2 linked regions of the Caenorhabditis elegans genome follow. The protein of the gene in region 1 interacts with the protein of each later gene in a pairwise test. Each region holds a gene or a part of one and is shown in the gene's direction. Other genes may lie near its edges.

What was found.
Region 2: the proteins of lst-4 (region 1) and unc-26 interact in a two-hybrid assay, tested with the Caenorhabditis elegans proteins (one large-scale study listed by BioGRID).

Annotation. Positions count from the first base shown.
Region 1 is NC_003282.8:14,062,260-14,070,096, reverse strand, and holds the start of lst-4 (Sorting nexin lst-4), read left to right. Parts: upstream 1-1,626; coding exon 1,627-1,902; intron 1,903-3,067; coding exon 3,068-3,289; coding exon of another isoform or gene 3,290-3,364; intron 3,365-5,434; exon of another isoform or gene 5,435-5,437; coding exon of another isoform or gene 5,438-5,474; intron 5,475-5,695; coding exon of another isoform or gene 5,696-5,895; intron 5,896-6,669; coding exon 6,670-7,026; intron 7,027-7,066; coding exon 7,067-7,407; intron 7,408-7,472; coding exon 7,473-7,576; intron 7,577-7,631; coding exon 7,632-7,709; intron 7,710-7,768; coding exon 7,769-7,837. UniProt on the Caenorhabditis elegans protein: Involved in the signaling of vulval development by acting as a negative regulator of epidermal growth factor receptor (EGFR) signaling. Aids in phagosomal membrane tubule formation which is required for phagosomal fusion with endosomes and lysosomes.
Region 2 is NC_003282.8:13,269,481-13,274,574, reverse strand, and holds the start of unc-26 (Synaptojanin), read left to right. Parts: upstream 1-2,058; 5' UTR 2,059-2,063; coding exon 2,064-2,187; intron 2,188-3,226; coding exon 3,227-3,456; intron 3,457-4,192; coding exon 4,193-4,383; intron 4,384-5,094. Other genes in the region: cpsf-3 (Cleavage and polyadenylation specificity factor subunit 3), read left to right, coding at 418-468. UniProt on the Caenorhabditis elegans protein: Probable inositol 5-phosphatase which regulates synaptic vesicle recycling in neurons by regulating clathrin-mediated endocytosis.

The DNA of each region.
Region 1 (7,837 bases):
CCTATGGAAATTTGACACCTATTCCTCCTCCTCCCTAAAAAACTTCCCAATTTCACCAGTCATCACGAGTTGCCGCGTTGTGTATTGAAATATTGGCTGACTCATTGTTTATTTTTTATTGATTTCTCATATTCTCTGCTCGCTCGCTTTTTTTGACACTTATCAACTGAAAAACCTTGCTGAAAATTCAGTTTTACTCTTTTTCTGGAATATTTTAAATTAAAAATTAACATTTTTTTCAGAGAAATGGCTCAGGTGAAAGCCGAGTATGATTTTCAAAGTCAACCAAACACAGGCGAACTGTCAATCTCGGCTGGCGAAGTTTTGACGGTTATTCGAGAGGTAAGAGGCTTTTTGAGCAGGTGGAACAGAGTTGTTCGAGGATTTTTTGAATCGTAAAATGAAACAATCGGCTAAATTAATTTTGAATTCCCGCGTGAATAAATCGGCGTTTTCCCGTTTTCTGGCGAAATTCATCTGTTTTTTCTTAATTTTTTGTTTAATTTTTGTTTTAAAACACTGATTATTCGTTTTTCAGGCATTTTTCCGAAGCGAAAACTCGATTCCTCGAACAAAATACGCAGAAACTTTAAATCTGGCCAAACGTTGATAATTTACATAATTTTGTCAAACAAAAAAAAACTGATAAATGGTGTAAATTCATTGGTTTTGTCAGATTTCCAGGCGTTTTTCCTGAAAATTTCTTATCAATATATGAAATTCCTGATTTTTAGGCCAATTTTCGTCCGGAGAACAAGTTTTCTCCGCGGAAAAATGTCTGAAAAACTGATAAATGGCGTTTTAATTCAAATATCTCTTTAAAAAAATAAGAAAAACGAAAGAATTTACCCAAAAATGGAAAAAAAATCACAAAAAGAATTTATTATTCGATCATTTCAGCCCATTTTTTTCTATAATTTAAAGCAAAATCAAGAGTTTTTATTTCAGAACATCGACGGAGGATGGATAGAAGGTCGAAACGTGCGTGGATCCGTCGGACTCTTTCCCGAATCCTACGTAACTCCCTATCAAGCTTCTCGTCCGCCACCGGTAACCCATTTGTCTTCTAGTTAACCCACTTTCTCATCTATTTCCGGTTTTGATTGTATTTTGTGTGTGTGTGTGTGTGTCTTCGTTGTGTGTCTTCGTTGTGTGCATTTCTGCGGGGAGCATCTAAATTGGTTGTGGTGAGCCAAAAGCATCAAAATGATTGAAATTGCCTTCTCATCAGCATTTTGAGCTGCTGGAACCCTCTAGAAATCGCTGAATCTGATGCTTGTTTCCGAAAAATATTCAAAACGGAGAGAAAGATGAGTAAAAGCCCATGAAATTTGAATAATAAAAAAGATGGTGGAAGAAGAACGCAACAAAGAGGAGTGAGATGAAGCGGAAGAGACTGGAACAAAATAGAAAAAAAAAGAAAGAAAAACTATTTTGAAATTGGTTTTTCCTCGGGTCCCTGGAGACGTTCGGATCCTCCTACTCACTTGAAGACGGCGGTCCAGATACTTGAAAACAAAATAAGTAGATTCTCAAAGAAGCTCTATATACCTGATTCGTCTTATATTCCACTCATTCTGCCAAGAGATTTCCTACTTTTTATCCGACTTTTCGATCTTTTCGCGAATGCTCTTCACATCGAGTCTTCGAAAGGCCGTTGAGAACTACCCAACACCACCGGGCGGCTCATCTGAAGATGCTCATCGGCAGCTTCTCGAACGTCGTCGCAAACAGATGCTTCGACGACACACGTGTAGTACACTCATCAAACAAGACACATCTGCTTCACCGCATAAGATGAAGCCACCTATTCTGATGGAGGAAGAGGATGAACAGCATTCCACTGGGAAGCACTCGTCTAGAAAGAGCAGTTTTAAGAAAAGTGGAGCAATATCGAAGAGTGTAGGGGTTTTGTGTAGAAGATAATCTTTTCGATTCTTTCCAAACCTCTCAGAAATTCCTCGAAATTCTGAGGCAAATTCATAGGTGCACGTGGTGTCAGAGTGTCTCATTTCGGTTTGACCTACGTAGATCTACAAAAAATGCGGGAGAAGAAACGCAGAGTTCTCCACTAATTTCGTATGGTTAAGAACGTGCTGACGTCACATATTTTTGGGCGAAAATGCCCGCATTTTTTGTAGATCAAACCGTAATGGGACAGCCTGGCACCACGTGTAGGTGCCAAACAGAGTAAATTTTGACAATTTGAAATTTACATTCGCTCACATGGTGCCAGGCCGTCCCATTACGGTCTGATCTACAAAAAAAATGCGGGAATTTTTTGCCCAACAATGTGACGTCAGCACGTTCTTTACAATTCAAAATCAGATGAGAACTCTGCGTCTCTTCTCCCGCATTTTTTTTGTAGATCAACGTAGATCAAACCGAAATGGGAAACTCTGACACCATGTGTTCGCTACCAAACTTAATGAGGTCGATCCTCAAATAGGACACCGCTGGAGACTCCACAAAAGCTCACAACAGATTTGTTTTGTTATTCTACAGTAATCCTACAGTACTCCTACCGTACCATATCACAAAATAGAGCTCTAGTAGTTGGTTACGGGTCTCACCACGCTGACAACAAGTTTCTGTTACTCGTGTCGATTTACAGTTGTCAGCGTGGCGAGACCCATTTTCTTGTGACGTATACGTAATAACTGTAGCTCCCAGAGTGCTCCATTCCGGCTTGATCTACGTTGATCTACAAAAAACGCGCGAATTGAGACGTAGAGTTATCCACTGATTTCGCACAGTACCATTTCGCTTTGATCTTCGAAAATGCGGGAGAAGAGACGCAGACATCTCATCTGATTTCGCATGGTTAAGAGCGTGCTGAAGTCACAATTTTTCTTGAAAAGTATCCCCGCATTTTTCGTAGATCAAACCGCAATGAGACAGCCTGACACCACGTGTGCACGGTTAAAAACGTGCTGACGTCACATTTTGTCGGGCAAAAAATCCCGCATTTTTTGTAGATCAATCCGTGATGGGACCACATGACACACAGATCCCATTTCAATTTTCTAACTTTTTAAACAATTTCATAAATACTCAAAAATTCCAGGTCCTACCACCACCACTCCCACCAACTTCAAGCGGTCCACCAGCTGCCTCATCGCGTCCTTTTGATGATTGGGGAGGCGCTTCAGAAGTTGCTGCTCCACCATCCTACGGAGCCCAACATCATCATCAGCCAACGCCATCTGTACCGGAAGTCACTAGATCTTCATATCCATCACAGAATGATGATTTTGACGATGAATGGACGGATGAGGATGATGAGCAGGTATTTTTAAAATTTTATTTTAATTTTTTGATTGTCCAGTTTCTGTCCGTCCTATTTATACCCTCTAACTCCTAAATCTATATATCCTAAAAGACCAAACGAAAAGTCCAAAAAGAATAGTCATCCTCCTCAAAAATCGCCGGGAAACGACATCGTTGTCGTCGCCGCCGCAACTTGGTTTCCGGTAGAAGTCGTCTCTCCACTCCGTCGCCGCTGGACCCTCTTCTCTTCGGACATTTCATTTCTAATCATTCGAAATTCTCTCTCTTCGTCGTCGGCTGCGACTATTTAAATGTCATCCAGATTTATTTGCTACTACTACAACAACTTCTGCTGCTGCTGAAATTTTCGCGAATGCTGTTTGCTCGTGGACGATCCTCGAGCTTTATCGCTCTAGATCATCTACAAGTTAATCAGTCGCCGTCGTTTCAAAATGTAAAGGACATTTTTATTTAACTGGGATTTTTTATTTAGAATTTTTTTAAGTTTATAGGTTTTATTAATTTTACTCCAACTAACTCTAGCATTCAAAGGTTTTTTCTTAATACACGTGAAGTCAGAAAGTCCCATTTCGCACTTTGATCTTCGAAAAATGCGGGAGGTGAGACGTAGACATTTCAACCAGGGGTGTGCGGCAAATTTGCCGAATTTGTCGAATTTGCCGTTTGCCGAGCTCGGCAAATTTCAAAAAAGTAGATTTGCCGAATTTGCCGAGCTCGGCAAATTTCGAAATTTGCCGCACACGTCAAAAATTTGACAGTACAATTTTGACTAAAACTATTGATTTTTTAGCCAAAAATTTAGTAAAATGATACAAAATTGAGCTATTTTGATGCTTAAACAGACATACTACGCGGAACTTATTCAGAAACCAGATGTGTGTTAAGAATTCAGTAGTTTTGGTGCTCCAAAAAACATAAAAAAAATATCAAATTTTTCCGAGTTTGTTAAGCACGGCGAGTTTGCCGAATTTGCCGAATTTGCCGAGCTCGGCAACTTTGCCGAATTTGCCGTGCTCGGCAAATATTGAAAAAAAGAGATTTTCCGAATTTGCCGAGCTCGGCAAATTTTGAGATTTGCCGCACACCCCTGATTTCAACTGATTTCGTTGATAGCGTGCTAACGTCGTAATTTTTCTGGGAGAAAATTCACGATTTTTTTGTAGATCAAACTGTATTGGGACACACCGCTCCACTGCAAATGAAAACTCTCCGCCCCCAATAAAATAGGTCTCGTTGGGTATTAAACGTGCTCAAAAAAATCATTAAAACAACGGAAAATTCTCAAAAATTGGCGAAACTGATACCTAACGCCAAATACACGGGGTGTCAGGCTGTCCCATAACGGTTTGATCTACAAGACGCGGGAATTTTTCGCCCAGAAAAATGCGACGTCAGCACGCTCTTAACCATACGAAATTTGCTGAAAAATCTGCGTCTAAATTCCCGCATTTTTTGTAGATCACGCCGAAGTGAGACACTTTGACACCAATACCTAACGAGACCTATGGTTCGGGGGCGGAGCACCTTTTCATGTCGGTTTCAAAATTAATACTACGCATACAATTAAAAAATCACCCTGAAAAACAAAAAAAAAACCCAAATTTTCTTCTCAAAAATAGGGATATCCCTTCTCAACTGCTCTTTGCAACACCCCGCGCTTTATATGTGCAAGCATCTCTCCTGATTGCTGCTATTGAGAATCCCCCAGCACTCTCCACCAGCTCATTTTTGCTCTGTCGCCACCCGACGCCTCTCGAAAACTATCATCATGTGTTGAGTCTTTTTTGGTGATCCTATTGGATATCCATACTCACATATATATATATATATGTATATATATATATATACATATATCCATATATATATATACATGCAAAAATGCGTCGACTGCGTCAATCGGACGCCGACGTCTTCTTCTATAACCGTCCTATTCCTATTACTGAAATTCGTGGATTTCATAGGGCGAGCGTCTCGTTCTCACCGTCGTGGGTTCGTTTTTAGATATTTTAGGGGAAACGTTCAGCGTTCTAGCACTTTTTGTAATCCGTTGATTAAGGAACACCGTCTGTCCGTCCATGATCAAGTTGTGAATTATCAAAACTCGATTCGTCATCATCATCATCGTGCAAGTGGGTCTCGAACGGATATGTCCACTGACGACGAGACGAGGAGTAGTCAGCAAGGTTATTAGAATAGTTCTTGTCGGCGAAGCATTCGGACATCTATTACACATTCGTTGGAAGGTTAGATATTGAAGAAGAGATGATGTTCCTCGCAACGAAAAAACGTGGAGCCACGTGGCTTCTCTGTTTCTCTCTTTTCGATCTCTCATTTCCCGCGAATGTGCAATTACAAGATTTTCAAAGCATAGTGGCTTTAACAACGCTCACACATCTCATTGCAGACGGTGCCTACCCCTCTAGCAAAAGAAACGGTAGTGTGGGCTCGTCTACCCGCTCCACGAGCACCAAAAAGCGCTTGAGTAGGCAAGATAGCACCGCCCGACGGAGACGTCTCAGTGAGGAGAGAGATAGTCGACGGAGAGTTGAGAAGTCGGTGAGCTCGTGTTTGAGCTCGAATCGGTCTCACCACGATCAGAATAAGGTTCGGGTTGTTCGATAAGTTGTTTCAAGTGGTGTCAGAAAGTCTCAATCAGGGCTGAGCAGTCGCCCAAAAAAATCGGCGATCGGCGATCGCCGATCGCCCAAACTTTTTTTTTTTCGGCGATCGGCGATCACCAATTTCCGAAAAATTTCGGCGATCGGCGATCACCAATTTCCGAAAAATTTCGGCGATCGCCGATTGCCGATCGCCGATCGGCTATTTTAACCGAGTTATTCGGTCAAAACACCTTTCCGTTTTTTTGTTTGGTAAGGAAATGCGACGAAAAATTAACATTTACTCAAAAAAAAAATTAAAAACAACAAAACAATCGTTTAAAAAAAACATGAGATTTTAAAAATCGAGATGAATTTATTGAAAAATTCCATCGGCGATCGGCGATCGCCGATCGCCGAAAAATCACGAAAATCGCCGATCACCGATCGCCGATTGCCGCTCACCCCTGGTCTCAATGCGGTCTGATCTACAAAAAATGCGGAAATTTTTCGCCCAAAAAAATTGTGACGTCAGCACACTCTTAACCATGCGAAATCAGATGTCTGCGTCTCACTTCCCGCATTTTTCGTAGATCAGAGCGAAGCGGGACTTTCTGACTCCACGTGTTGTTTGAGGCGTACGGGACTGCTCGTTGTTCTGATTGGCTTAAAGTATCAAGCTTCCTTAACTATTGAGGTTGTTATGTAACGCATGCATGTTTTCCTTATTTGTGTCCAAAAAGTTATAAAATAAAAAAAATCAAAAAATTCCGATTTCCAGGAACCAACTCGGCCCAACGTTCAATCCTCGATCGGCTCGAACTCCCGTCGTGACCTCAGCCGTAGCCACTCGGAACACGGTGGACCTGATCGAGGATCCAATAAGGTCAACAAGAACATCAATCGATTCTCGAATTTTGTAAAGTCCGGAGTCGAAGCGTACGTGATTGGTGAATCAAAGACCACCTCACAGATTAGTGAACGACATGAAGTTGTGATGAACAATGGAATTATTCAATGGAAACCGATTCAACAGTACTACACGTGTATAGTGGATAAACCGAAGAAAGAGTCAAAGCTGAAAGGGCTGAAGAGCTTCATCGCATATTCGATTACGTCGAGTTTGACTAATATTCAGGTAAATTTGTAGATTTCGACGCTTACTAACCGCTTGCTAGCGTCAGGTATCCCGTCGCTACAAGCATTTCGATTGGCTCCACGAGCAGCTATCGGCTAAATATGTGCTCATTCCGATTCCACCGTTGCCAGAGAAACAGGTCGCCGGAAGATACGAGGAGGATCTTATTGATCATCGGAAGCACATTCTTCAGTTATGGGTCAACAAGATTTGTAGGCATCCAGTGTTGAGTCAGTCGGAAGTTTGGCTCCACTTTATCAGTTGCACCGACGAAAAAGATTGGAAGAATGGGAAGCGGCGAGCTGAAAAGGATGAATACATTGGTGGAGCTTTCCTGAACTGTATCACTGTTCCACATCAACCATTGGATCCGAATAATGTGTAAGAAACTAATAGAATTCTACGCAGAAAGTTTGATAATCCTGCGTAATCCTACATGTTTCCAGCGATATGCAAGTTGAACGATTCCAACGGAGCGTCAAAACATCGGAAGAAGCGATGCGTGTGATGCAGGAGAGAATGAACATGTTCCAGAAGGTCTTCGCTGGACGTATGTTGGAAATTTTCGAGCTTTAAAAATTTAAATTAAAAAAATCAAATTTCAGCGGTAAAACAAAATTGGCAAAAGATGGGAAGCGCGTTCAAGACACTTCAGCAATCTTTTGAGATTGATGAGACCGTTGGTATGAATCTTTGGATTTTTAAAAGTTCTTGGATAAATTTAAAAATTCTAATTTTTCAGCCAGTCGCCGCCTGACAGAAGCTCTCGCCTACACTGCATCAGAATATCATGAAATTGGGCAAGTATTCG
Region 2 (5,094 bases), 790 kb from region 1:
ATCGAAAAAAAAAATGTTCAGAAAATTAACCATAAAATATGATTTTTTTTTAAATCTAATTTTGTTTATATGGATAAGAAAAAACATAAAAATTTCTTCTAAAAAGAAGAATAATGGCCGAAATATTGAGCTAATTTTAAAAAAATCGAAACATCGAAAAATTAAAAAAAAATTGCGGGGACACATCTCTCTGTGTCCCCGCAAATTTTCGTCTCTCGCCTTCAGCATATGAAATGGGATGTCGGCCGATGTCGAAAAATACAGAAAAAATGTCGAAAAATGCATGCGTTTTTTAAACATTTTTCGACACACATGAATAAGGAAAAACGTATAAAAATACATTCTTTGCATTTTTCCACATCGCATGAATAAAACCATAACTTTCGGAAATCTGAAAAAATCTCAAAATTATTCCAGATTGTGACTACAAACACAGAAGTGAATGAGATTGATGATATGGAATGTTAGAGTAAGCAGAGTCGATCGTCACACCAACAATGATCTCAAATTACATTCTCTTTCTCTATCTTTTTTTCGTTTTGTTTATGTTTTCAGAGTATTGAAGGGAATATCGAGAGAATTGTTATAATTTATTTCATTATTATTATATCATTATTACTTTTTCTTCTGTTGTTGTGCTCTTCGTTTTGTGCATTAAAATCATATTTTTTAATCCAATAATTTTTTTTCTTTGTCTCCAAAAAAATGAAAACGCGTGTCCATCGCGAGAGACTATATGAGTTTTTCCCTAAAAATCGCAAAAATGGAGAAACAAACTTTCAGAAAGTAATGAAAAATGTATGAGAAAAATTACCGAAAATTTAAGAGACTTTCCGGAAATTCCGCAAAATTAAATTTTTTTGAAAATATTGGAAAAACTAAAATTTTCGATCTTTAAATGTTCTCTAATAGTAAAATCGAAAAACGAACAAATTTCGAATTGAAAAAAAAAATTTTTGAATAAAATCGAAAAACCAAAAACTTTTAGATTTTCCAATATTTCGACTTTTCGAAAAAATATCTCTTAATTTTTAAAATTTTGTTTTTCCGATTTTCACTAAAAAATTTAAAAACGAAAATTTTCTGTTTCTTAGGCGTAAAAAAACAGATTTTAGTGAAAAAATAAATCTAAAAGTTTAGGGATTTTTTTCAGTTTTTCGTTTTTCCAATATTTCGAAAAAAAAATTTTTCCGATTTTTCGAATTTCTTCAACATATCACGAAAACACTAAATTCTGAGAATGCGTAGCACAACATATCTGACGCACAAAGTATCTCGTAGCGAAAACTACAGTATCCCGTTGAATGACTTCTGTAGCGCTTATGCCCATTTACGGGATCTCTCGATTTTTTTTTGTCATTTCTGTGTTATCTTTCAAAATATTTTATCGATTAATGAATAATTTCCGTAACAGCGCTACAATAGTATTTTTATATATTATAAATTACAGTAGTTTTGGCCACGAGATATGTTGCAAAATACGCATTCTCAGAAATTTGTGTACGCGTAATAAACAAAATTTGATAGAAATTGAATTTTATTGTTAATCTTTTCAATTTTTCGATTTTTTTTTTGAAAAAATTGAAAAAAATCTATTTTCTTCGACATTTCGAAAATAAATAATTTTTTTCCAAAATAATATCTTTAAATTTTCGCCATTTTTCTTTATATAGATTTTCCGAAAATTGGAAAAATTGCAAAAAAATGCCCAATGACACCCGTGGCCGGGACCGGGAGGCCTAAGAGATTTAAAAAGACAAAACACGTATAGTTAGTCGGTTTTTTCTTCTTTCTTTATATGCTTCTCGCAGGGCTTTTCCCCTTCTGCCATCGTCTTCCTTTTTTCTTCGTCAATATATTCACATCTCTGCGTCTCTCCCAATGCATTTTTCTGCGTCTCTTCTATTCACGTACTGTCTCACTCAGTCTGCCATCCGCGCAGACTCGTTATTCTATTCTCACCACCACCACCACTACTGAGGTTCTTTTATTTTTTTTTGTTTTTTATTTTTTTTTAGTTTTCTTGGTGTTTTTTCTTTCTTGAATTTGTGATTATTTAGAGAATGTCAGTTCGAGGGATTCGGATATGGCGGAGGAATGATGCACGATTTCAACCATCAATCCTTGTCGAAAAGAATGGATTAGATGGATCTCTTTTGTTTCAGGGTGGAGCTATTGCAACGTTAGGTAAGGTTTTTGAAGAAATTATTCAAAAATATTTTAAAAATTAATTTAAATTTAAAAAAATAATCCGAAAATTTGGATAAAAGTTGAATAAATTCGTTTAAAAAATATTTAGACATTGGCCGAAAAACATTTTTTTAAAATTAGTTTTTTCTCATTTTTTTCTCAAAATATTTTTGAAAATTTGAAAAAAACATGTGGTAAAATATTCCGTATTACGTTTTTTACTGATGAGAAATTTTAAAGAAAAAAAAATTTAAACTCCAGAACTTATAGAATTATTTTATCGAAACAATCCATTTTATTACGGTTTTTTAGTTTTTTTTTCAAAGGTGGAGTACCAAAACCTGAGAAATATTTTCAAATGACTCCAATTTTTCCCCTAATTCCGAATTTCTAATTATAAAAATTCAAAAATATTTCCCTGATTTTATAGTTCAGCTTGAAATCGCTTGTTAACCCATGAGATTTTTCAAACAGCGAATTTTCGCGCCAGAGACGTCATGTGTCGATTTACGAGATTTTAAATCTTGCTGATTTCCGTTTTTCAACAAGTTTCCTCGATTTTCGTCGGTTTTTGCCAATTATTTTTGAAAGTGTGTTTTTTAAAGGAAAAATTTCCAATTTTCCGTCGAGTTGTGACCTAAACATTGGAAATTTTGTTAGTTTTTTAATGATATTATGTTTAATTGGCTTTTAAAAAAACCCATTTCAATTTTAAAAAAACTTGGCAAAAACCGACGAAAATGAAGGAAACTCAATGAAAAACAGAAATCAGCATCTGATAAACATTGAAAATCTCGTAAATATACACAAATCTCATAAATCGACACATGGCGCGGAAATTCGACGTTTGAAAAATCTCATAGAGACGCAATGCGATTTCAAGCTGAAATATAAAATCAGGGAATATTTTTTGAATTTTTTTCCCTTAGATATTCGGTATTAGAGGAAAATTTGGAGAAATTTAAAAATATTTCTCATCCACATTTAAATTTTTTAAAAATTTCCCACATTTGCCAAAATTATCCTCCTCTTCCAGATTCGGATTCAACAGACGTTGAACGAAGATCATATCAAAAGATAGTTGATGCTTATGGAATACTTGGAGTACTTGCTATTACAAAAGATGAAGCTGTTCTAGTTGCTGTTACTGGTGTACTTTCAGTTGGACAACTTTATGGAGCTGATATTCTTAAAATTACAAATGTCGAATTTATATCGTTACGAACGTTTGGTTCCGTCGAAAATGTTGATTCCAGAATTATCGATGTAAGTTTTTTAAACAATTTATTAAAGTTTTTAAAAAATTTATCTGATACATTAAAAAAGATCCAAAAAAAGTAAAATTTGTAAAAAAAATGAAAAAAAGAAAATTTGTGAATTTTCAGGGTTTCGAATTCGAAAATTTGAACCTTTTTTAATATCAAATTTTGAGTTCAATTTTTTTGGGCTATTTCGACTTTTTTGAAGTTTTAGACCAAAGCATTAGGAACTTCAAAAAATCATTTTTTTCGAAAAAAAAATCCAAAAAAAATTCAGTTTTTACAGATAAACCAGTGCAAACGCTGAAAAAATTTATTTCTCCAAAAAACTTTAAAAATACAAATTTTTCACAATTGCAAATTTTTTAAAAGTAAAAAATTAATTTTTTACTTTAAAAAATGCATTTCTTACAAAAAAAAATCGCCGGGATAGCAGAAAAAAATCATTTTTACAGAAAAAAATTTGTAAAAAAGATTCGTTTTGTTTTTTCAAGAAAAAAGCACAAAAGCCAAAAAAAATTACAAAAAAACCGTGGAAAAATCGATATTTCTGACAAAAAACCTCTAAACCTCTATTTTTCAGTTACAGCGACAATTTATAGATTTGAAAAAAATGTTTGAAAAAATTATTAAAAAAATATTAAAAAATGTGTTTTTCATTCAAAAAAAAAAAGATCTTTCGAGAAAAAATAACAAAAAAAAATTTGCTAAAAAAACATTTAAAATCCTCCAATTTTTTGCAGTTACAACGACTACTTTCATCTCAAATGTTCTATTTTTCATCACTTCAATCATATGATCTCACTCGTTCAGCTCAACATCGTGATTCACATGATTGTAGTGATGCACGATTCTTCTGGAATCGAAGTCTTCATTTTTCATTTCAAAGATATGGAATTGATACGGATAATTGGTTGTTGAAATGCATGGCTGGGTAGGTAAAAATTCATGTATTTGGGTCTCGACGCGAAAATCAAATAATGTTGAGTATGTTTCTCGTGGCGAGACCTTTAAGTACGAAAAGTTGCGAATTTACATATAAATTTAAAAAAAAACTTTAAATTTAACAAAAGTGGTTTTTTTTTGCAATTTTCTAATTTTTTGAAAATTTCAATTTTTTTTAATTACAAAAAAAAGTGATTTGAAAAAATAAGATAATTTTTGTGGAATATAATAAGATTTTCAGTTTTTTTGAAAAAAAAACGAATTTTTTTTTAAATTTAAAATTTAAAACTTTGTTGTAAAAATCATTATAAAAAGCCGAAATGAATTTTTCAAATTTCACTTATTTTTTAAAAAGAATTTTACAATAATACACAAAAATAATACAAAAATCTTTATTAAATTTCTGCTAATTTTAATTTTTTTTAGAATTAATTCGAAATATTTTTTTTCGTGGTGAGACCCAGCCGAGTTCCCGGAATTACAAGATTTATCATATACATTTTTTTTTTTGAAACACCTATTGTCAAATCTTTCAAAAACATTTTTTAAAGTGAAATTCAGTATCATTTTTAGAGTTTAGAGCTAGTTATTTTTTCTCTTAAATTAATAACTTTGTCGTTAAAAAAATCATTATAAAATCCAATAATAAACAACTTTTTTTTCAATTTTTCTACTTAATATACAAAAATAATACAAAATC